Notamacropus eugenii: one gene and its partners. The protein of the gene in region 3 interacts with the protein of the main gene of each other region in a biochemical or structural test. Links are inferred from orthologs where the notes say so. Each region holds a gene or a part of one and is shown on either strand. Other genes may lie near its edges.

Region 1 (8,448 bases), on a different chromosome or scaffold from region 3:
GATATTTGAGGTCCAGAGCCCATTTCCATTGACCTCTCTCTCCTCCATCAATAAAAATAATAGATGAAGTCTATTTTGAAGTTTGTATATGTTAATTCAGTTAATACTTTCCATAATCCAGTCAAATTGGTATTACAGCTACTACCCTACTATTCTCTCTCTCTCTCTCTCTCTCTCTCACACACACACACACACACACACACACACACGCACACACACACACACACAGAAACAGTGAGACAAAGATGAAGAACCTGAGATTCAGAAATGCTAAGTTTCCAATGTCAAAGAGATAGTGAATATCACAGGCAGAATTTGAACCCGGGACCTCCAACTCCAGAACTAGTGTGCATTTTCTGTATCACTTTACCTCTCTACTTTCATAAGCGTTGAGTGGGGAGGTCTATGATGTACAGACCACCATGTTAGGCATGGAGGGAGAGAAAACATTAAGGCACGGCTCCTATCCATAAGGGGTTTATAGTTTTGTAATTGGTCCCAACATGTACACGAATAACTATAAAGCAAAATAGAACCAAATAATTAGACTTATGTCAGTAACAACTAATAAATAGCTGAGGAGATAAGGCTAGGCACTTGCCCTAGATCACTGTTAGTAGGGAACAAATTAAACAGTATCACAAGGAGCCTGAACACTGAACAATCCAATTAGTACACAGAAGCTTCCTTTGTTAGTAATAGCTACAAATACCCTAGGAAGTGTCAACCAGCAGCCTGGGGCAGCTGCATGGCATATTTAAAAACCCAGGTCATAAGTTCACTGTTACTGGTGACAGTCAACCACTCTGCATTGTTTCTGTACATACCAAAATAATTATAGTATCACTGGCATGCATTTCATGGAGGATGGGTTGAGATGGGGCTAAAGCATCAGCTTAGTTTCATAAGTGAGACCAGAAACTGATTTTGATGAGGGGTAAGAATAGGGAGGTCTTGGGGAATTGGAGGTCACCATAAGTGGTAAAGGGTAGATTCAGGAGAAGTAAGAGAATGGGAGGAGTAGAAGGATAGACGGGTTTGGTCAAAGAGAATAATTTCAGAATTCAAAACCTTGGAGGCACAGGCAATTCAAACTGATGGCAAGGTCCAGGATTTGATCAAGCATATGATAGCTAAAGTGAATTTGAGAATTAAGTCATTGGAATGCAGGCAGTGGAAGAGTTGTAAAGTTAAATAGATGGGAGGATCATCAGTATAGATGTTGAAATCTTAAGGATAATAAGAGGTGATGGAGTAGAGGAAAACTGTGTAACCAAGTATGGGATATATTGAGGAAGCTGGCCGAGTCATAGCATCATAGAATCTAGAACTACAAGAGGCTTTCAAGAATAAAGACTATTTACCTCATTTTACAGGTGAGGAAATGGAATCCCAGAGAAAGGAAGTAATTTACCCAACATTATACAAGTAAAAAGTTAGTCAAAATCTGAACTCAGGTTCTCTGACCCTAAATCTATTAATTGCTCTTACTTCTAAAAAGGGAGCTGCCGTATGTATCAATCCATTCCCATGATTCCTTATATCAGAACTCCCTTCCCTCTTCACCACTACTCTATATGTGTTTTCTTCCATTACAATTTAAACTCCTTGAGGGTAGGGGTTGTTGTACCTTTATATTTGCATTCCTTGTACTTAGCATGGAGTCTGGCTCATATCATATCTCTTGAAAGAGGTTTGAGTAGCTGGGTATATGTAGTCACAGAAAGCAAAAACCATCTCTCTCTCTCTCTCTCTCTCTCTCTCTCTCTCTCTCTCTCTCTGTCTCTCTCTGTCTCTCTCTGTCTCTCTGTCTCTCTCTCTCTCTCTCTCTCTCTCTCTCTCTCTCTCTCCTCACTCTCACTCCTTCTCTCCCCTTTCTTCGGCACTCTTCAGTCTACCTGGATCACTTGGGAAGCAGGGTGTGAATGGTTAAGAGTTGTACACCAGGACCACAAGTACCAAAACAATCTACCTTTTATCTACCATCTTTACAAAGCATTCCTCTGTGCTTTCTCAGCTTTATCCTCCTTGAAATTAGCCTTCCTTTTTCATAATTCTTTTGTTTCTATAAAAGTGAAAACTACACACAACCTGTCCCCCTAAAATGTACATTCACAATCAAAAGACTTTGTAGTTTTTGTGCTTTAAAAAAAAAAAGTTAAAATAAAAGACTCACTTGTTGGTAGCAATGCGTGTGAATGCAGGGTGATATAAGTAGTGATGTGTACTTTAAGAAAGAACTGATTTTGACAAATGGTGACCCCAACAATGGTCTGGGCATAGGTGTAAGGAGAAGCCTATGTGTACATGTGTATAGTTGTGTATAACTTGGTAGCTATACATGTTTGATAAGGCAGAGCTGTTCATTTCCTCAGAAACCGGGAGATAGACAGCTCTGTATAAATCAGCAAGTTTATCTTGAAGTGTAGTCAAGACACCAATGACTTGTAAACTCTCCAGAAAAGAGAATCACAATAAGGTAGAGAATAAAAATATTCCTATATTCAAGTCATCTTTATTTTTCTTCAAAGGAAAGGGAGAATTTCTGTTTTTAAAAGAAAGTAATAACAATGGGACAAACAGTGAGAAAAGAATCAGAAAATCCAGTGGATTCCAGAGCAAGCTAAAATGAGCTGGGTGCCTTTAGACAGATTATTTAGTTACTTTGAGAAGACAGAGTGGTTGAATGTATATACAGTGCTGCATTTGGCATTGGGAAGAGTGTGTTCAACTCTTACTAATAAGCAAGAAATAAGTTGTGTGACTCTTGGTAAGACACACAAATTTTCTTTGCCTCAGTATTCTTATCTATAAAGTAGGGATAGTGATAGCTATATTATCTGCTTCACAGTACTATGAGTCTTGAGTGAGATAGTGTTTAAAGCACTTCACACATTTTGAGTATTCTCCAAATATCAGTTATTGTTTTAACGAGAAATTTGGCCTTCTCTATCCTTTCCAACTCTAACATCCATATTTAGATAGTGACTTGAATTGTTGCATACCTTATAGAGTACTAGACTTGGAGTCAGGAAGAGTTGTATTCAAATTCCACTTCTGACATATACTAGCAGTGTGAATGATGGACAATTCATTTAATCTGTCTGAGCCTCAAGTAATGTTCTAGGATTTATCTACTAAATTATACTAGCTAAGATGTGTTGCTTAGTACAAATCTTTCTGTATATATGTTAATTCTTCCCAGTAGAATGGAAGTTCCTTCATGGCAGGGCCTGTTTGGCTTTTGTTCTTGTATTCCCAGCACCTTGCTAATAGAAAGTCATGGGAGCATAGATTTATAGCTAGAAAGGACCTTTATCTAGCCCATCCTTTCTTTTATAAAAGAGGAAACAGAGATTAAGTGACTTGTCCAGGGCCACATAGCCATTCCTCTGTACCAGGCTGTTAAAATGAACAGACATTTATATACCACTTAACAAAGCACTAAGGGGTGTTTTATAGACATATGAGTATATTTGCTGTTTTTGTTGTCATCTTCAACTCTTTGGGGTTTTTTTGGCAAAGATGCTGAAGTGGTTTGCCATTTCCTTCTCCAGTTCATTTTACAGATGAGGAAACTGAAACAAACAGCGCTAAGGGATTTGTTCAGTCACATAGCTAATAGGGATCTGAGGTCAAATTTGAACTCTGGTCTTCCTGACTTCAGGTTCAGGGATCTATCCACTTTACCACCTAGCTGCCACAGTGAATGGATTACTGACATATAGATTATGCTTTACAAAATACCTTTATATATCATTTCATTTGTGATTGGGTTAGGCAATGCAAATATTCTTACTCTCATTTTACAGGTGAGGTACTGGAGCTTCAGTGACTTGCCCCAGGTCACCCAACTAGTAAATGGAAGAGGCAGGAATAAAACCCAAGTGTCCTGAATTCAACGGCTAGTGTTCTTTCCACTACACTCCACACAACAACGACTAAGACAAACATGAATATTGGGGGAGGGAGGTGACTGCGAGGTGGGCCTGGTCAGCAAGAAGTCTCCAATCGAAGGTTTACAAGTGGGCACACAGTAGGTACACAGGTTCTTTTTCAGCTTTATAGTTCTACCTCAGGCTGGCTTCTTTGGCACTGAGAAGCAGCATGGTATTTTGAGTGGAAAGCAGGGTTTTAGTCCTTCCACTTACCAGTTTCCTCTCCTACCACCTAGCTGACCTGGAGGTCAAGAAGAAAAGGCATATTTTGGTTTTTGCCTTAAAAACAAAATAAACTTGGATGCTAGAAGGATCTACAGCTTTGTCATCATGGAAGAACTCCCTCAGATCTCCACCTGGACGTGCTAGCACTAAAGATAAACTCTTGGCAGAGACCCCGGAGTGCGGAGAGACCAGTTCCCCACCTGTTACAGAGGAGGAAACCGAGGCCGGGGAGGTCAAGTGATTTTCCCCAAATTCCCTCTGGTAGTGAGTTAGGAGAGAAATTCTAGGAATTTGCCCGAGGCACCTGGAGGCTGAGTGACGAGACCAAGGTCAGAAGAGGAATTTGAACCGAGTCTTTCTGACAGCACATTATTCGTTACCTTTCCTCTTTATTCTTTCTTAATTAAATGCTATCTAAATGTGAATTGTCAGTATCAGCCACTCAGCCGGGAAATTTACAAAAACGTAGTCCCCGCCCCCATCGGGCCCAGCTCTGGCCACGCCCCTCATTCATACTTTCTTTTTTGCCCCTCCCCCTATTCAGATCCGCCTTTGCTTCTCCCCGGCCTCTCCTCTCCGGCCACCTGGGTCAGCCCTCCCCGCACTTCGCTCTTGCTACGGCTGGCCCCGCCCCCCGGGATCCGAATCGCCCCGCCCCTTCGTGGGCGGGGGAGCGGTCAGGGGGCGGGGCCCTGCGGGATGACGTGGAAGCGTGCGCGGTGACGGCCGGCGCTCTTGTTCCTTAGCCGAGCGGTGGAGGCAGGAGGACGCGGCCCGGAGCCCGGACGAGCCCGGACGAGCTCGGTGGACCGGCCAGCCAGCCGCTCGAGCTCGGGCTCGGACGCCTGTCCCGTCCTCCCCTGCCCCTCGGCCGCCCCCGCGGCGACCCCGGGGGCCTTCCTCCCTTCGGCGCGCGCTTCGCTTGCCTGGGTGAGTGCAGAGCCGGGCCCAGAGCCCGGGGGCGGCTCCTCCGGTCGTAACGGCTGTGTTTATGTTATTGTGCCGCCGCCGCCGCCGCGGTGACCCCCTCCGGAGGGGGAGGGGAAGGAGGAGGAGGGGGCGGCGAGGGGGAGGGGCGCGCGTCCCCGCGAGGGGGGAGGGGGCCCGCCTGGGGACCGGGGAGAGGATGCCGGGGGATCCGGAGAACAATAGCGGGGTGAAGGGGGCCAGGAGGGGGAGGGGGCGGGGAGGAGGACCCAGAGGGGGAGGGGACGGGGCCGGGGGCGATGACGCGCTGCTGCCCCACCGTTTTCCTCCCCGCCCCCCCACCGCCTCCAGCCCCGGGACCTCGGGAGCCCGAGAGCTAGATGGGTACCCACCTCCCTCCTCCCGCGGCGGCGGCCCCGAAAGGGTGGTCTGTGCTTAGCGTATTTTCCCCACTTGCATATTGTATTTTTTAAATGGCCAGGGATGGGGGAGAAGTTCTCAAAGACTTTGGGGGAGGGGGGAGATCTGTAGTCCTTGAAGGCCGGGACGGGGACTGGAAGCGTGCAGCGAGTACCTCGTAGATCCTGGGTATGTAAAAAGAAAATGGTCTTATCATTCCCATCCTGGACCATGTGTAGTGGCTGAGTTGACGCTCTAGGGCATCCTGGGTTTTTGAGTGTGTGTGTGTTTTTGTTTGCTTTTTGTGTTCTGTGGAGCCTTGTTTATGCCAGTAATGTAAAGCACAGATGCATCAGTTATATGCAGATACATCAATGCAAAAAAAAAAAAAAATTATTGGTACCGGCGATGAGTCCTCGGCCGGTGAATGGCAAATGGACTGTTTTAGCTTGTGGTGTTCTTATGAGATTTTTAAAATCTTAAGTAAGGAACTGATCTTTTCTGTATATCTCTAAACGCTTATGCTTATAGTCCCTGGCACGTAATACGCGTTTAATGATTGTGTCTTGACTGACTTGACTGTCCGAGTCACACTTTGGACTGCAGCTGTGTTATTTGGAGTTTGGGTAAATTAGTAAAAGCATATGGTCTTTGTTTTTTCTTTTCTTGTCTTCCCTCGTATATATTCTGTGAATTCAATAACATTCATCACCATCCTATTAAACTGTGCCCAATAAGTGCAATTTGCTTAAATTAGGGATAGGAACTGGACTATTGATTGTATTCCCATAGGGAACTCTCAGGTAAGGAAATTCCTTCTGATAATTGTAGGTTGGTACCTCTTCTGCAGTTGACCATCTCAGATGCCTAGGTGCTGAGAGGTTGTGACTTGCCTGGGATTACAAGGGCAGTATCTGTCAGAGGAGGGACTTGAACCTGTGTCTTGATGATTCCAAGGTCAGCCTGTCAGCTATGCCACAATAGCTAAGGTAAAAATAAAACAATCAAAAAAACCTTCCCACTAAGTGCAATTAATTAACTTATTTAATTCCGAGCTCATGCTACTTTTTTTTTGTTAATGTGGCTTCTTGGCAGTCATCCCACACTATGTCAGAGCTAGGAGTAGAAGGTAAAATGAAGTAGTTCAGTGTGGTATGTGAATGTTGCCTTGTCTACAGTCATAGCCCTGATTTATCCTTAAATAAAGCTATAAGATAACCTAGTGTTTAAGATCCTCATTTGTGAAATGAAGGGACTGTTTCCCTGACTCCTTTTGTCATTAATATTCTATGATTCCATGCAAGGTGCTTTTACTATTTTTTTTAAGTTGGAGGATTAAATGTTCCAATATATTAGAAACTGAAGGATTAAATGTGAACTGAAATTGCAGTTTTTGAAAAATTTTGCACAACATTTTGTCCGTGCATTTTGGTAAGCCACATACAGTTGTGACTAAGTGGCCATACTTTCATATGTACTACCTATCACCAGAGTAGGGGGATCTTGAACAACTTTGTTGAAGTGTTATTGCTTCAGTAAATTGACCTTCTTAAAAGGAACCTCATAATACTAAAATCAAGAATGTTCGGATACAGTAAATAGTTGTCTGAATGTTTGTATTATGAAAGGTACAAGTTCTAATTATTAAGCCAGAAGTATTTATGGCACTAACATATTTTCAATTTGCTTTGTTATAAAAAAAAAATTAAAGGAAGCATGTGCTCCTTAAATTGCAGGTAATGAAATTTTATATTTTTATCTCTGCATCACAGTCATTTCTCATTTTATATCCCCTTTCTTCCTCCTCCTTAAGCCCTCTCTTGTAACAAAGAAAAATAAACCAAAGTGATGGATAAAACCTGTGTACACAAAATTTGATACCCACGGTTCAGTGTTCTGCAATCCACTTTCCTTCTGAGAAGAAAACTATTTTATTCTCTTCTCAGAACCAAGATTTTTCATTATACCCATTGAGTTCAGCTTCCTTTTAATGTTTTTTTTACCTTGACATTATTGTTGTGAAATTGTTCATCTGGTCCTGTTTTTCCCACACCTGTATCACGTCATAGAAATCTTTGTATATTTCTCTGAATTCTCCATATTAGTGCTTCTTACTGTATAATATTTCATTAATAGATTACAGTATATATTTACCCCTTTGATGGGCATCTACTTTTTTTTTTTTTAAGCCAGCCAGTTCTTTACTGCCACAGTGGGAGTGCTGCTATGACTTGTTACATAGAAGGCCTTTCTTTCTGTCATTGACCTCTTTGGACTCTCTGCCTGATTACAACTTCCTGATCAGAGGTCATGAACAGCTTGGTGGCTTTTCTTACATAATTCCAAAATCATTTTATAGCATGTTTGAGTCAGTTCAGAGCTCCAAAAGCAAGGTGTAGCAGTTATTAAGTATCCCCTATGTGCCGAGCCCTGTGGATACGAAGACAAAAATAGAAAAATTCCTTCTCTCAAGGAATTTATATTCTATTAGGGGAAACAGGCTGAACTAAAAGATGGAATACAAAACAGAAAGTAATTTCTTGAGTGAGGGCATTAACAAAGGACAGGATTAGGAGAGCTCCCTGTTCAGAGTATTCCACTTGAGCTGACTTTCCAAGGCAGGTAGCATTTCTCTGAGCTAGAGAAGAAGAGGGAGCTCATTCTAGACAAGAGTGATTGATCAGCCTGTGCAAGGCACAGAGATGTTAGGTGGCATATTGGGTGTGAGAAACAGCAAGTGTGGAGGAGAGTCGTGTTTAGTAGGACTGAGTAAGTACACTGGAGACTGGTTGTGAAGGGCTTTGAAAGCCAAATGAAAGAACTGGTATTATATCCTAGAAGCAAGAGGAAGCTGTTGGAGCTTACTGAGCAGGAGAGTGACATAGATGTGTGCCTTAGGAATATCAGTTTGGCAACTGTATGGAAGCTTGTGGATTGGAGAGACTAGATTTGGGGAGAC
Region 2 (8,580 bases), on a different chromosome or scaffold from region 3:
ATACTGGAGTGATTTACCATTTCCTCCTACCATGGATACCACAGATACCAAGGCAAACAGAAGTTATGTGACTTGCCCAGGGTCATACAGCTAGTGTCTGAGGCAAGGATTTTAACTTAGGTCTTCCTGACTCCAGGCCCAGCCCCCTACCCACTAAACCACCTAGCTGCCTCCCCCCTCAAGAGTAAAGGCTATTTTTTCTGGTTTTTTGTATCACTAGTGCCTAGCACAGAGCCTTCCCGGCACACAGACACTTAAATGTTTGTTGAATTTAAGTAACTGTCCCAATGGCACTAAGTAGCAGAGTCAGAATTTAAACTCAGATCCTCTGACTCTAAATCCAATGCTCTTTCCACACAGCTCCCCCAATGTTCTGCTACTTCCTAGACACTTCTGGGACTAGGCATTTTACAGGAAATGCTTTATTTAATATTTTTTTTAATAATATCTTCTTAAATTAAAACAACAGAATACTCATAAGCAATCCTTGTGACCTCTTTACAGTTTAAGACCACTTCAAAGGTCTCTCTAGGATTGTTTAGTCTTTCAAGTTATTAGAGTTAAGTGAAGTGAGTAGTATAAATAAAGGCAAGGTTTCATGAATCCTTAAAACAAAGGTGTCAAAATGCAGGCCCTCCTCAATGCAGTGTGAAGCAGATTAAAATATAACTGGATAATATTTAACAAAATAAAGAAAAATACAATAACACATAAGGAATTCTTAAGTATAGTTTATTGGGCTCCTATCTCCATTTGATTTTGACACCACTGATTTAAAGGTTCATAGACGTAGGAGTGGAAAGGACCTCGGAGTATTCTAGTCCAACAGCCCCACCCCACATTTTACAGATGAGAAAACTGAAATTTAAGTAACTGGCCCAAGGTCACACAGGTAGTAAATGGCAGAGACAGAATATGAACTCTAGTCCTTGACTGACTCCAAGTTCAGCATTCTTTGCACTACAAGGCTGTCTCTAGACTTCATCTGACACTTTATAATAATTTGTCTTATTTAACTCTTTGATGTTTGACTTTTTCACCCACTTAGAATATAGTGCCACTGAGAGAAAAAAATTTATCTAACAGATGGTTGATCCAAATAGGTTGTACTTCCAGTTATGACATACCTAAAAAGAAATAGCCTAAGAGATATCATCAAGGAGATACAAGATCCAAAAAAGGTTAATGGATCAAGTATTGACAGGGAAAGATAACCAATAGCTAGCCCAAATGCCATAACATTTTACAAGCCCCAAAGAAAACCTCTGGCAGGCAGGATAGATCCCTTGTGGAGGGTCTATAAAACATAAACAAGAAGCACACAGGATTAAAATATACAGATGAGTCATGATCCGTACTGATGGAAGAAATAGGAATATTGATAATGTCTGAATATTAAAATAAATCCACAGAACAGTGTACTTCTGATGGACAGACAGAAGTTAAGAAGTATGGGGGTGTCTACTGTCCAAAGTAAGTGTTCTCCCTCTTATCTCCAACTTCCACTATTCCTTGCTTCCTTTAACTTTCAGCTGAAATCTCACTTTCTAAAAGTAGTCTTTCCTGATTTCTTTTAATACTAGTTCCTTTCCTCTGATGATTATTTCCAATTTATCCTGTATCCTGTATCCATCTTCTTTGCAGATAGCTGTGAACAAATACAACTGCGTTTTGTCTTACCCATTTAGACTGTGAGCTCCTGGAGCTGGGACTTGGGACTACCTTTTTGCCTTTCCATATATCCTCGCCACTTAGCACAACGCCTGGCATATAAGAGGCACTTATTAAGTGCTTATGGACCGACTGAAAACCAACTCTTTCAAGACAGCAAAATGTCACAAGAGTCAATATTGGCTAACGTGGAACTGTCCCCCTGGTTCTGTTCATTCAACGAAAGAAACGTGTAAAAAATTACCAGAGATTTCCAAGGCTACACAAAGCACACTTCCTGCATTTAACAGCTTCCCAAACCCCAAGCACATATTATTACAACGATGAATTCTGTTAAAGACTACAGATTTGGGGGGGGGGGGAGGGGGGGCGGGGAGGACAAGAGCTCGGATGGAAGCAAGGGTGGGAGAAGGATCAAGACTTAGGATTTCACCCTAGCAATTTATCTGTAGTTTATAATTTCAAGAGAATTGCCCGGGGCACTAATTGATCAAGCGCCTTGCCCATGGTCATACAGCTAGTATGGGTGTCAGAGGCACAGCTTGAACCTATTTCTACATCTCTTAAGATCAGTTATCATGGCCAAAAACAAACAAACAAAAAACACCTTCTTAAAAGATGTTTTCATAACGCTAGGGGACTACAGGAGAGGCAGTGTCATAACAATGCACATGTTTGTGTTCTTTGGTTTAAATAAAGTTTCCCATTTTCTAATATCCAAGTTCAAGCAAAAAGGCCTGCATGGAAGGGGCTGTCACCACAACCAAAAAAAGAAAACAAAACCCCCAAAACACCTTCGCATCTCATTAGCAGGAGCAGCTCCAGGAGAAGCCGTGAATCTAGGTTCGATACCCCTTCCCCCACCCCCAGCCAAAAAGCCAATTGACTTCAAAGTCATGAAGCATTTGTTCTAAGGAGAGTTACGAAGGAGAGGCAGTTTAGGATCATAGCATGGCCTTCCTCTTCCTCTTCCTCCTCCTCCTAGCCTACGTCCTGGGGGAGGGGAGGGGGGGAGGTGTATGAAACCATCACCAGATTGGAGGGCACTGCTGAGGGCACCGATCCATCCGGGGCCTGAGCCGCCGGGATGCCGGGTGAAGCAGAGGCCGACTCGAGTCGGGGCCAGAAGGAGGTTCCAGGACCGAGGCTAAGGGAGGCAGCTCCGCGGCCGCCAGGACAACCAGGCCCAAGAGCGGCGCCTACTAGGCCGGGAAAGCCCGCGGCGGGGGAGGGGGGACTGCGGGGTGGGGAAGGAGGGGGGCAGAGAGCGAGGCCTCGGCCGCCACTGGCAGCTCGCGGGGGTCTTGGGGCGGGGCGAGGAGGCGCTCCTTACCCTGCATGCTGCTGACGGCCGTGTGGCCTGGCCCTGGGGGCCCCACGGCGCCGGGAGAGCCGCTCCCGCTGCCGCCGCTCGGGCTCGGAGCCGCCATTGTTATCCGGGAGGAGTGGAGCGGCGCCGCGGCGGCTGCAATGCAGCAAGTTCGGCCTCTCTCCGCCTGCGAGGGGCGCGGCTAGTGCCCGCCTCCGGCCCGTCCCCCTGGCCCGCCTTCCCCGCCTGCTCCCCAGCGCCGAGGCCGGACCCACCCACGCCCACCTCCGGCGTTCCAGATACCAATCAGTTTCAGCCTGGCCCTGGGCTCGCTCCACCCTTGCAGACTTGCCCAGACCTGGTCTCCCGGTACTTCTGCAGCCCTTCCGACGGGTAAAGAGATACACACCCACTCTCCCTTCTGACCCCCGGTAGTTTCATTCATTCTGTCAACAAACGTTCTTTGTTGTTAGTAAGTGTAATTCTAATGCAACTCAATTCAGCAATCAAATTAAGTGCTTTCTATGTGCGAGCCTTCGAGATTAGAAACTAATAGTCCTGACCTTCAAAGAGTTTGAGCCCTCGTGGATATTAGTAATAGTACTTAAAAATAAGTGACCCCTTCCCAGAAGAACAAGAGGATTATAGGTATGGAGTGTAATGTATACTGTCATACTCCATTCATGGATCTGCCCTAAATGCCAGGGATTATTATTAAAAATAATAATAGTATTGATAATAACCCCTGCTCTCTAGGAGCTCACAATAATCCAACCCTTTCATTTCTGAGATGAAGAAATAGGGGCCAGAGAAGTGACTTGAAGTCACATAGGTATCATGGGTTGGGTGTAAAATTTGAACACAGATCTTCTGATAAAGGGCTTCCTATACACTTCCTGCTAAGCTGTCTTTTTTTTTCTTTAAGATAAAAATTTGATAAAAATTCAGAGTAATAACCTCCTCTGAATGAGTTGGGAAGGAGAGAGATATATTTTGAAATTAAAGTGATGTTAAAGAGCATCTATTTGTTTTTAAAGAAAGAAACAGAGGGGAAAAAACTGATGATCTAGTTTTGGAGAGGGGGTAAGGATTGACACATGCCTACACTACCTAAGATGGCAGGACCGGCTTCCAAGAGACTGTGGGACTGGGACATAAGTGAACATTCTGTATTAGCTACTATGTAGTTTGGAGCAAACTTTTTCCAATGGCTCAGCAACACCTGGCCTTTTTCTTGCATTCCCATCTAAGAGTGAAGGATACTTTCATTCACACCATGTAGTAAATGATGTGGATACAAACAGCGCCCTAAGAGTTAAAATAATATTAAGGATTGACTTTGTGAAGCCCCTGGTTTATTTTCTAACCTGAAGGCACCCTTAAGTCTATCCCCCTTATCCTGAAACACCTTAAAACTTCTCCCTTATCCTGGACCTTAAAATTCCTTATGTCCCCCATCCTGGGTTGTAAAATCTTATCTGTCTCCCTTCTTTTGTGTCATCCATCTTCCTCATCCAATTCCTAAATCTCCAACCCCTATTAGAAACCCTAAAATTTACATCATCACCCTAGAGCCCGTGTATATCAGTCTGGTCCTTGTCCTATATCACTGCCTTTTATAGATCCGTGCTAAATTTCAGACCCACTGCTTTTGTGTCAATGAATGTGATAAGTCAGTGAAGACTTCTCAGGGACCTAAGTCAAAACTGAAGCGGACATAATGCCTGAGTTTCAGTTTATCAAAAATCATATGATATTGGGAAACTTGAAGTTGTGAAACCGACTGTCACCCCTCTCCCCAGTTTCACTGACTCCCATTTCCCTATTTCTGAAATAGAGACTGCTAGCTCAGGCTGCTGAGTCCCATTTCCTTATTTCTAAAAATAAAGACTGTTCATTCAGGTTCTTGACCAAAAGGGTAAGAGGTGTTTTGTGGTCGTCTGCTATATAACCTTGCATCTGCTTCTGTAAAATGCTTCCCCTCCTCCAATTTGCTTGGGGAAGGGTGAAGTCCAGTATAAAGGATTTTCTGTGTATACTCTGAAATGCTTCTGAGTAGTCAATTTGAGTAGGGGTCTCACCATCCCACACATCAATAAAGCCCCCTTTGGCCACAGAGAAGGTCTAAGTGAATTCATTCACATCTGAACCAGCTCTCCCATCTCTCTCTCTTCAACAGTAAAGCTAGAGGGACTTTGGGCCTCTTTTTTCCCCACTGGATCGATATAGGTCCTGACTTTTGGCATTTTCCTTCCTCCTTTTCTGTTCTAGGTAAATGGAGTACAGTATCAGACCCAGATGTTCAAGCCACAGGAATTTGTCACTCCAAGAGGGGACCTGGGATGCTAGCCCAGCAGGGATTTTTTTATCTTGAACTTAGTAGGACTACTGCCGTTTATGAACTATCTGAATTGTCAAAGACCAATGCAGAAGAGGTTTGGAGAGGGGGAGGGGAAGGGGATTATGTTCCAGAGGTGTTGGGGGAAGTGTCAATATGTTTGTCCTTGTTATATCTTTGAAATAAATATCCCTACTAGTTTAATCTTGACTGGTTAAAAGACTCTGAGATACTAGTCACTGGGCAAACACAAGTAGGGTCAGAGAAAAGAGATACTTCTACTGCTTAGGGTACCAGAGAGCCCTGTGTGGGTATAAAATGTAACAAGCCTCGGAGGAGTCAGAGAAACTATGTTACACTTATTTTACTGAGAAAATGGAGGTGTTCTATCTGAGATCCTTTTTCTCCACTTCTCTTTACCTCAAAATCTTCAAATGTCTCTTCCTTTTCCTCAGTGACCCCTTTTTCTTAACAAGACCAACCCTCTACATATGCCTTTGATCCTTTCCCCTCCAATCTTCTCTCTAGAAGACTGAAACCTCAATCATCCTCAATCCTTTTTAAATCTTCAACCTTTCCTCATTGACTAGTTCCTTCCTATTAATTCCAAGCATGTCCAAGTCTATCCTTACTGTCTTTCAATCCCTTCAAGTTACTGTTTTATATCTCTCCTTCCTTTATTAGTCAAACTACCTGAAAATGCTTTCTACACTCACAGCCTCCAAGTCCTCTCTTCATATTTATTCCTCTATGCTTTGTAGTCTGACTTCTGACCTCAACATTCAACTGAAGTTTTTTCAAAATTATTGATGGTCTCTTAATTGCTAAACATGATAGTCTTTATTCATTCAGGCCTCATCCTTCTCAAACCATGTACTCTATTTGACATTGTTGATTTATTCTCTCCTCCTGGACACTTTCCACTCTCTCGAGGTTTATGATACTACTTTTTCCTAGGTTCTACCTCTTCTCTAACCATTCCTCATTCTCCTTTGCTTGTTTGCCATCCATATGTTATCCTCTCACTGTGGGTATCCCCCAAAATTCTGATCTAAACCCCTAAATTTTTTTCTCTTTACACTGTCTTAATGACTTGATAGGTGTAACTACACACATACATACATACATATATACATACATACACACACTCATATATATACATACATATATCTTAGTGACCTCATGGGTTTAACGATATAAATATATATAGATATATACATGCATACATATATATTTCTTTATATGTACGTATGCACATGTGTGTATATATACATATATACATTTATATATATTCAGCCCATGACTCCCCCCAAGCTTTAATTCCCCAGCACAATTTGTCCATTAGACATTTTAAACTAGATGTCCCAAAGACATCTCAAATTCAACATATCAAAAATTGAATTAACCTTTCCCCAAAATCCCACCTCTCTTCCAAACTTCCCTTTTATTTGAGGATTATAACCTGAAAATTATCCTTGACTCATCATTCTCCTTCCCCTCACATATCTAATCGATTGCAAAATCTTGCCATTCCTACCTCCTCATCTCTCAAAAATGACCCTTCAGGCCCTCATCACCTCTCACTTGGACTATGCATTATAACAACCTCCTAAATGGTCTGTGTCCCTCAAGTCTCTAGCCCAGAGGTTTCCCAAGTAGGCAATACTACTGCCTGGGGGGCACTGGAATGATCTAGGGGGATCGTAGCTGCTTCAGGTACAATTGGGGAGTATCAAATAAATATAAGGGGGCAATGGAAGCATAAGGAAAGAAAAGAAGAAAATTTTGAAAAACCATTCATGCATGTTTCATCTGTTGTGTAACAAAAATAAAGATATCATGATTACATTTTTTTTTCCAATTAAAAACACAAAATGCAAGTTATAACTGATCAGTGGTCAAGTCTGCTGACAGATCTTAACAACCAAGTGCTGGCAGGTGAGTGCGTCAGGCATTGTCATGAAGTCCAGCATGCATCAGTAGGAATATGTGCATATAATGACTTGTTTACCATATCATATGGTTAGAAGACACAATATTGTATCATCACCATTTCAATGCAGGAAAAATCCCACAAAATTAGAAAAAAAATATTAAATTTAAAATGCATCTTTGTAAAAAAAAATTACATTTAAAAAAATGACACAAATTTCAAAAAAAAATGTTAAAGGGTTAAAGAAATTAGATTTCCAGGGGGTGGTGCTGAGTAATTTTTTTTGAAAAAGGGGTGATAGGCCAAATAAATTTGGGAATCTCTGTTCTAGACCCATTCCAGACCATCCTATATGCCTATGTACCATAGGATTTTCTTTAAGCACACTTTACCATGTGATTCCTGTACTCTACCAACTCAGTCTCCCTTTGTGATAAAATATAAACTCTTTTGTTTGGCTTGAAAAGTCCTTTACCACCTTGCCCCAACCTGTCTTTCTAACTTCATTATACATTATTTCTCCTGAATTCTGCAGTCCAACCAAACAGGCTTTCTCTTTGTTACTCCTACACACCACTCACTCACTCTCTCACTCTCAGGGTCTAAAATGCTCAGCAGTCACATTTGTCCATCAGTCTTTGTCTTCCAGAGCTCTTTCTCTTAAACCTAACTTGTATTGAACTGCTTTATATTTATTTGTATTGTTGTCTTTCTATTTTTTCTGTATAAATCAGTAAATCTAGTTGTGCCAGAGCCAGGGCAAATGCACAACAAACGAAACAATCCCCCCTTGCAAGAAGCTTACATTCTAATGAAGGAGACAAATATGCCAGTTCACAGATACAGCACAAATTTGAAGTGAACCCATGCAGATACCTACAGAGTAGTTGAATACAATGTAATAGTAGGGTAGGGTGGAGGATACCAACAGTTGAGGAGATTAGGAAAAGCTTCACTTATCAGTTTTCATGTATAGACTTCTAGATATCTTTGTTGTCCCCCATGTTAAAATTGTATCTTTTTCTGGTCTCCCTAACCACCACCACCCTTTCTAGTGAATATAATATGTAAGGTTATAAGTAGCTAGTATAAAATTGCAACAGCAGGAAACAAGATTGCAACATAGAACCTGGAAGTCATACACAAACTATCCCAAAGACCAAAAAAGGAGTGAATATGATGGGGTTCAGACTCTGGGAACTTCCTTGAATTCTCCTTGAATTGCCTCACTTAACCTGGCTTTTCGTACTCAAATGGAATTCTCCTTTAATCTCCCCATTTAACCTGGCCTTTCATACTCAAATCTGTGATAATTATCTGTTACCTCTT
Region 3 (7,720 bases):
GGGGAAATGAAAAAAAAACTTGTGACGATCTTATTTAAGTCACAGTGTCAAAGTACTTATGAAATCTTTGAATATGTTAAATAAACTGGGAAATATTAAATAATTTACACAAAATTCTTCACGAATGGTTATGACCTTGACAAACCTATTCTAATTAAAGTGACTGAACTGTTTACCCCAAGTACCTAATTGCCCTTGCAGATTATTTTTCCCTTCCACTTTCATATACTATACATGTTTTTTCTTTCATTCTAACATACAAAATATGTCTCCAATGGGAATTCAATTAAATTTTCAAGAAAATATTTTGATATGCACTATTATATATTTTGTACAATTTTTAGTTTACAACCAAAAGGAAAACATCCAGGTTACAAAACAGGAGAAAGAATGAATTGTTCAGTGCCTGTATTCTGAAAATAGCCATGGTTCAAGCCCTGGCTAGGCTACTTACCAGCAGTGTGACTTTGGGAAAGTCATGACTTTTCTAGGCTATGGTTTCCTCATTTGTAAAATGAAAGAGTAGGACTAAACGATCTCTAAATCCCTTTCAGCTCTAAAGCCATGATCTGAGGAAAGCTTAGTCTTTAGCTAATCAACATTTTTGTGCATGTTATTTCTACTCTGTTTGCTCTTATCTACTTCCAAACATCTGACAAGTGTTAACATACTAACTGTGGCCTAATAAGTTCAGGTATTAATTTATCTCAAATGTCTGACAGCCATGTAAAGCTTGTGTCCTTATTGCTATAAATCTCTATCAGAACAGAAAAATTAAAATTAATTTCTGGACGACAAAATTCAAAATTCTAACCCTAAATACAATTTACTTCAACAAAAAAATATTGTTCCCAGTTAATGATTTAGTCTAAACTCCAATGGAAACTACACAAAGGAGATTAAATATTAAGTATAACAATCAGTACTCTGCAGAAGTTGTTATACATTTACACAAGATGTTTATGCAAAAACCTAGTTAAAGGCTCCTCTGTTTTCATTATGTCTTGAGGGACTTATCAGTATTTCTAAATGTATTTTAAAATGTTTTTTAAGTTAAGGATTTGTCATAACACTGCAGCTATAAATAAATGAAATCAACCAAGCCCACAGCAAAATTATGTCAAATCATCCTAGCCACAAATCAGAACTAGGAAAACTCCTTGGAGAAGTGATTTTCATTTAAGAGGCTTACACACACAAATCAAAATTATATATGTGGGTGTTTAAATAGGCATCAGGACATCCTACTGGAGAATCGGTGCAATGCCACAACGTTAAAAAAAAAAATTCAAAACACTAACTTCTCAACAATTCGTGTTCTGCAGTTTCTCAGCGCTGAATTTTTCAAGTCAACTCACATTTAATGATTTCCTTTAAAAGAGTATTTTAGAGTTGTCACTAAATAAAAGTCAAGGAAAACTTAATCATTTTTCTTAGTCACACTGTTCTTTGAGCGGAAGTGAAAAGAATTTGAGATTTTAAACAGTATATCATGCTGTTGCTACTGGAATTTCGTAAGGTGGCAGCGTTTGCAGCTGGGGTGAGCTGAAGCTATGCAAAGTGCGCCCCACTCTCACCCAGAGGTGAGAGGATTGTGGTGGCAGTTAACGGGTTGGATGGCTTGGAAACCGAATGGCTGACACATCCGGTCTAAGATCTTTAGCCACCCAAGTAAATTCAAACTTCAAAGACATCTCAAACACAAGCCACAGCTACCAGTTCAAAGCATTCTAGGCCCAAAGAGTACTTCAGCGTGAGCCCACACACTGTGGCACCCTGAGTTTGCAGCTCACTGGCCTCCACCAGCTATGACCTGCACTCGACATTCTCCCAAGCAGAAAAGACATCCAGTCAGCACCCAAACCTCCCGGTTACCTGCTGCAGACCCCGGGCTCCTCCTGGGCAAGCTGCAGCCAGGCGGCGCGGAAGATCCCGGCTCCAGGACAGCAGCTTGTCTGTCCCACAGCGCACCGGCCTGACCCGGGCCGGCGGGATCTCGCCTCCTCCTCCTCCACCACACACACAGCCGCTGGCCCCGGACCTCGCTCCTGCCCACTAGCTTCTAGTCACCGCGGCCGGACCTCCCGCGCCCCCACCCCCAGCAGCAGCCCAGGCAGCTCCGCTCCGGTCCAGGCTCCCCGGGGCGCCCGCAGCCTCCGCATCAAGCCCACGAGTCCTCGGGACACCCGGCCCCTGGGGCATCTTCTCCTCCGCAGCTGCTTCCCCACCCCCTCGGCAAACACGGGGAGTCCAGGGCCCCCACCCCTATTCCCGTCCCCTCGGACCGGCTGTCCGGGCAAACGTCTAGCTCACTCTCCCACAACTCCGGGTCCACCAGTCTACACAGGGCAAGCCTCGGGTCTACAGACACGGGGCAACCTCCGAGCTGAACAACCTGGCAGTCTACGCGGGGCAACCTCCCGGATCATCGGTCCAGCTCAAAGTCTACCAAGGGGCAACCTCCCAGGCCGATCCACTTCCCCCTACATACGGAAACCTACCAGTCTACACAGGGCAAGGGACTGGTGTACACCCTTCTTCTCAACTATTTCCGCAACCAGATCCGAGCAGAGACAGCTCCGGTGTCTCCCACGTTTCCAAACAATAACACCGCCCCCCCGCCCCCCAGCTCGAGCCCGTCCCTCGCTCCCTTCCCAAAGGTGGGCTTCGGGACCCGCCCAACACCGGGGAGCCGGAGGGAAGGTGGAGGGGCTGGGGGGAAGCCAGCCCGGGAAGAGCCCGGTCCCTAGCGGACTCTCCTGCAGCCTCCCAGCGGCTGCGGACGCTCTCCCCCACCCGCTGCCCCCGAGTTCATTCATTCGGGGAGCGCCCGGAGCCCGGCCGGGCTGGGGGCAGGCAGGCGCTCGGCGGCGCGCCCGGGGTGGCGGCTCCTTACCTCGCGGGGGCACCGGCGGCTGCGGGCGGCTGCTCGCTCGGGGCCGCCCTCCGGTCCCCGGGATCGGCTCCCGCCGGGCTCGGGGCGCCGCTGTCCGGCGGCGGCGACGGCTCTCGGGACTGGCAGGCGCCGAGGGCGAGGGGAGCGGGGGGCGGCGGCGGCGGGGGCGCTGCGGGCTGGAAGGCGCCCCCCGCCGCGGCCGGCGGCCCCGGCGGTGCAGGGTCCCCGGGCTCCGGGGAGGGCGGCGGGGAGGCGGGGAAGAGCGGCGGCTCCAGCTCCACGCTCCGCACTTGGCGCAGCGGCCTCCGCCGCCAGTCCGCCCGCTCGCGGCCCCCGCTGCCCGCGTCCCGCAGGAGCCCGCCGCCCGCTTCGGGGCTGGCCGCCGCCGCCGCGGAGCCCGGCAATCCCGACGACGAGGTGCGATTCCCCGCCGCCGCCGCCATTTTCTCTCGCGGGCTACATTCGCTCTGTCCTCGCGCAGGGGAGGGGCGGGCCAGGAGCGGGGAGGAGGGGCCCGGGGCCCGCTGGGGGCGGGAGGTGTGCGGAGCGAGGGCCGCCGAGCCCCGGGAGCGTAGCGGAGGCTACGCCAACGACGTGGGGGACGACGCAAGCGGGACTCCGGGAGGGGGCGGGGGGGCGGCCCGAGCTGGGGGCGGGGCGGAGAGCTGCGGTTGGTCCATCGGAGTAGCGTTAGAAGCCTAGAAAGGGGGGGAGGGGGAGCGTGCAGGAGGAGGAGGAGAAGGAGGCGAATGTGCCGTGACGCCCCTAGCGGTAGGCGGCGGGAGTGCGGGAAGGGCAGCCGCCTGCAGGTTGGTGGGAGGAGACGCCGTAGGTAGCCCGGTCCGCGGCGCTCCCGCGGCGGGCCTGGAGCCGCTGTCCGGTGGGCGCTCCGCGGCCCGGCCTCCCTCCCGCTGCAGGTGGTCAGTCTTGGCCGCGCCCGCGGGAGGAGCGCAGGCACGGCTTCTCCTCCCCGGCAGTCCGGCACCGCTGTTTGGAACTTGCTCAGGACAACTCTCCGGTGTCCAGAAATAAATAATTAGCACGGTGGGGACGTGGCCGCAGATAGGGCAAGACTGGAGGAAAGAGCTGATTAAAAAACAAAAAGGGCCTGCTGTCCCCTAGCGAGGCTTCCCCGGTGTGCGTGGGGGCCAATGAGAGTTCTCCTTGGGCGCAGGTAAAGGCTGCGCAGGTAAGGACTGATTCAGAGTCCAGGAGGACAGCTTTCGATACATTGTATCCTCCTTAAAGGAATAAAGACAAAAAATAAAAGCTCACTTAATAACCAGGCCACAGGCGGCTTACGTTCTGAAGTTCCTGATTTGAGGTTTCTTTCCCCGCGGAGGGAAAGCCGTGAAACTTCCAGGAGGGGCTGGGGCATTACTTTTGCTGGCTGTTTCTCTGGGTGCGTATTCCAGTATTGGATAAATGCTGGACTAGGGAATAGGAAGCCGACACTAAGGAGCTCAATGCGATTGCCCCCATCCAACTCTACAATTTAACCCTCCCATACCCTCGCCATTTTCCTTTATAGGTTAAAAACAAACAAACCAGCAACACCCTTCCTTAATTATGAAGTCTTCCTGGGGAAAGCGAGAGCCAGAAATCGCAGTGTGGGTGGTGGTGTAGGGCTAGCTGCTGGTATAGGGCTAGCTGCTGGTATTTCCCCAATGATGTGTTTCAAATGGCTTCATTCCCTGAGCGATTCTCTTCGATAAGGTGTTTGGGGATGAAAAGCACTATTTAAATGTTAATTATCTTCAACCTTTCTAGTGCCACAAAGGGATTCTCTGTGTCTCGTTTTTTTCTACTCTTCCTTCTTTCTGTGGGACGAGCTAGTCTGTGCTTTGCCTTATAGATGATAGCCCTTCCCGAGGGCAAGAACAATCTCCGGGTTTATTTTGCAAAACAGCGAGCAAACTTTCATATACAGAAAGGATGATCTATCACATGGGAAGAGGAGAGGGAGTAACGTACTCGGCCTTATCTTATTACAAATGTAGCCAGGAGCCTGAGCTGTCCGCATACTAACTCTGTTTTCTTTCGCAAATGTTACAGTGCGGACTGCAGAAGTTATGAGCAAAGGCCCCCTTTCTAGTCTGTTACTGGAGGAGGAGGGTAATTACTGCCCTGCGGTCCTGAAAAAGGGACGCAAAATAGATCTTGATTTTACATTATTGCCTTGACTACTAAAAGATTATTTTGAAAGTTTTGAAGTGTAAATTTTGAAAGTAATGAGCAGTCCAGGTAATAAAATCTGTCAAACGTTTGTAGTCTTTAATTCCAGGATTAACCCTCCGAGTTTCCTTCTGTGCTGTCCATATTTGGGCTATAATTATGCAACTCTGTTCATTGTGACATCGAGGCCACACACTGGTGTTTACTTAGTCTTCCCTAATTGAGACACCTTACCTTTTTAAGTTTACGATTCATTTTTTCACTAACTTTTTTTTAAGGTTTTTACAAGTTTTAAATTTATCTACTTAAGACATATACCAGTACACTTATAAAAACTAAATAAAGTAACTGTCCTTTAAAAGGTATCGTAAGATTTGAAGTTTTCCTGGAGTAGCGTTAAGTGAAACAGATTTCAAAGCAAAACAGCTTCCCCTAGCCTGTCTATGCATCCGCCCAAGCTGAAACTTGGGTACAGAATGAAGCCGAGTGGTGTTAAGTCAAACCACCAATCAGCTGCATTCTCCTTCACCACCCCCGCCTTCCCTCCTTCTCTAGCTGGTCCTCTCCTAAAACGAAAGACAGCTGAAATTACTAAACCCAGCTCATGGTTTTCGTCATTTTCCCCTTAACCTCTTATGCAAATATCCTGTTCTTCATTATGCCTCCACACACTGAGAATCAGATAAAAAAAAGAAAGGGAGAAAAAAAGAAGTCCGTGGCTGAAAAGGGTGTTCCCATCTGCCATATGTTAAATTCATCTTATTGTTTTGAAAAGGGAGTTTCATTTGAATTAAACTATATGGAATTGTTACAGTAGTTACCCAGACCTCAAAATGTCTAAGGCTGAAGCTACTATTTTAATCCTATTGTGCTCTCCCTTATATTACTAGAAGGGCATGTATCACATTTCAAGTTACTCTATTGCAGTAGACACCTCAACTTGGTTTTTAATGTAGTGGGAAAGACACCATTCTTTTCAGTTACTTCTGTTAGGGGAACGAGGTGGGGCATGAAAAATTGAAACGTAATTACCATTTTCACTATCTTTATTGTTGTTCATTTTTATGCACATTAGGATACCAGCCTGGCTGTTATTTCATTTACACTGTGGCAGTTTCTATAACTCTCAGCCCTATGCTTTCCAAATCAGTACTTCCACATGTTCCTTCTGGGAATCACTTCAATCACACTTAATTTTATAGTTTCATTTGTAGATCTAATTTAGTACAGGTGCATTTTCTTGACATGTACGTGTATTAATGTCTTTGGGATGGAAAGGTTTTGTAATGCACTGGTAGGTTATTTCTTAGTTCATATAGATGGAATATTTTTCTTTTAATCGGAGGCTGCTGGTAGTTGCTTTAAACACTTATAAAATGGTGAGATGTGAAAATGCCCTTTTAAAAATTAATCATTTATCAGGGAGACTCTCACAAGATCAGTGTTTTCTTGTTGTTGGGTTTTGGGATTTTTTTTTTTTAATTCTATCAAATAGGGCTGCCAAATATGAAGTACAATAATGTCCTTGGGAATGGAGGGAAAGAAAGGAAAGTCAATCTATGTTCTGTTTTAGCTATCAGCTATTTCCTGTTACTACCTTTGGTTAAAAAAAAAAGACAAACAAACCCTAACATTTTTAGTTGGCATAGGACAAAAGAGAAATCTGATACAAGAGATAAGCAATTATTAAGCATCTGCTGTGTGCCAGGCACTGTTTTAGTCATTGGGGATATAAATACCAAAAAACCCCTGTAGCAGCTTATATATTTTATATGAGAAAACAACAAATTTTATGCACACATATACATACAGTGTATGTGTGCATATGTACATATTTGTAAAAACAAAATATATATGATAAAAAATTTATGGAAAGTAGCACTAATTTAGGGGTTTAAGAAAAGTCTCATACAGGTATTAGTGCTTGACCTAACTTTGGAGGAAGCTAAGATGCTGAAGTGAGGATGGAGTGCACTGTAGGCATGGGCAACAGCCTGTACAAAAGCAAAGGGATGGGAGATGGAATGCCATGAAGGAGGAGCAGCAGGTAGGCTTCTTTGGCTGGACCATAGAATATGTGAAGGGGAGTAATGTATGTTAAGTCTGGAAAGAAAGCCTAGAGACAAATGTCTTTAAATATCAGAGGATCTAGTTGCTTTTTATCCCTCAAGCATTAGAACCTCCAGTGTGAAGAGAAATTATTCTTAGAAAATGATTTTCCATTTTGACTTTCCTGGCTTCCTTTCCCACCTAAAATCCCATCTTTTACAGGAAGACTTTCCCAGCCTGTCTTAATTTTAGAATCTTTCTTCTGTTAATTATTTCCTATTTATCCTGAATAGTGTGTGTGTGTATGTGTGTGTGTGTATGTGTGTGTGTGTGTATGTATGTGTGTGGTTTCTCCCATTAGATTGTGAACTCCTTGATGGCAGGGATTGGCTTTTGTCTCTTTTTGCATCCCCAGAGTTTAGCACAGTGCCTGGTATATAATAATGTGCCTGGTTCTTAATAATGGATAGGTATGAAAATTATTTGGTTATTTTCTTTTTTTTATATACATTTGGACTATGGGGAAAGAGGAGACAAAGAAAATAGGCTTACTTATTATGTTGGCAGCATGGCATTGCTCAGGGTTCTTAACTCCCCCTC

The links.
Region 1: of the proteins of MAP3K1 (region 3) and MAPK8, one has a biochemical effect on the other in vitro, tested with the Homo sapiens proteins (3 studies listed by BioGRID, with this or other methods). The link is inferred for Notamacropus eugenii from reciprocal best matches to the Homo sapiens genes MAP3K1 and MAPK8.
Region 2: of the proteins of MAP3K1 (region 3) and MAP2K4, one has a biochemical effect on the other in vitro, tested with the Homo sapiens proteins (7 studies listed by BioGRID and IntAct, with this or other methods). The link is inferred for Notamacropus eugenii from reciprocal best matches to the Homo sapiens genes MAP3K1 and MAP2K4.

What each region holds. Positions count from the first base shown.
Region 1 is NC_092872.1:219,738,234-219,746,681, reverse strand, and holds the start of MAPK8 (mitogen-activated protein kinase 8), read left to right. Parts: upstream 1-4,958; 5' UTR 4,959-5,093; intron 5,094-8,448. UniProt on the Homo sapiens protein: Serine/threonine-protein kinase involved in various processes such as cell proliferation, differentiation, migration, transformation and programmed cell death.
Region 2 is NC_092873.1:314,570,735-314,579,314, forward strand, and holds the start of MAP2K4 (dual specificity mitogen-activated protein kinase kinase 4), read right to left. Parts: upstream 3,201-8,580; 5' UTR 3,102-3,200; coding exon 3,005-3,101; intron 1-3,004. UniProt on the Homo sapiens protein: Dual specificity protein kinase which acts as an essential component of the MAP kinase signal transduction pathway. Essential component of the stress-activated protein kinase/c-Jun N-terminal kinase (SAP/JNK) signaling pathway.
Region 3 is NC_092875.1:405,365,891-405,373,610, forward strand, and holds the start of MAP3K1 (mitogen-activated protein kinase kinase kinase 1), read right to left. Parts: upstream 3,360-7,720; 5' UTR 3,340-3,359; coding exon 2,897-3,339; intron 2,604-2,896; exon of another isoform or gene 2,502-2,603; intron 1-2,501. UniProt on the Homo sapiens protein: Component of a protein kinase signal transduction cascade. Activates the ERK and JNK kinase pathways by phosphorylation of MAP2K1 and MAP2K4. May phosphorylate the MAPK8/JNK1 kinase.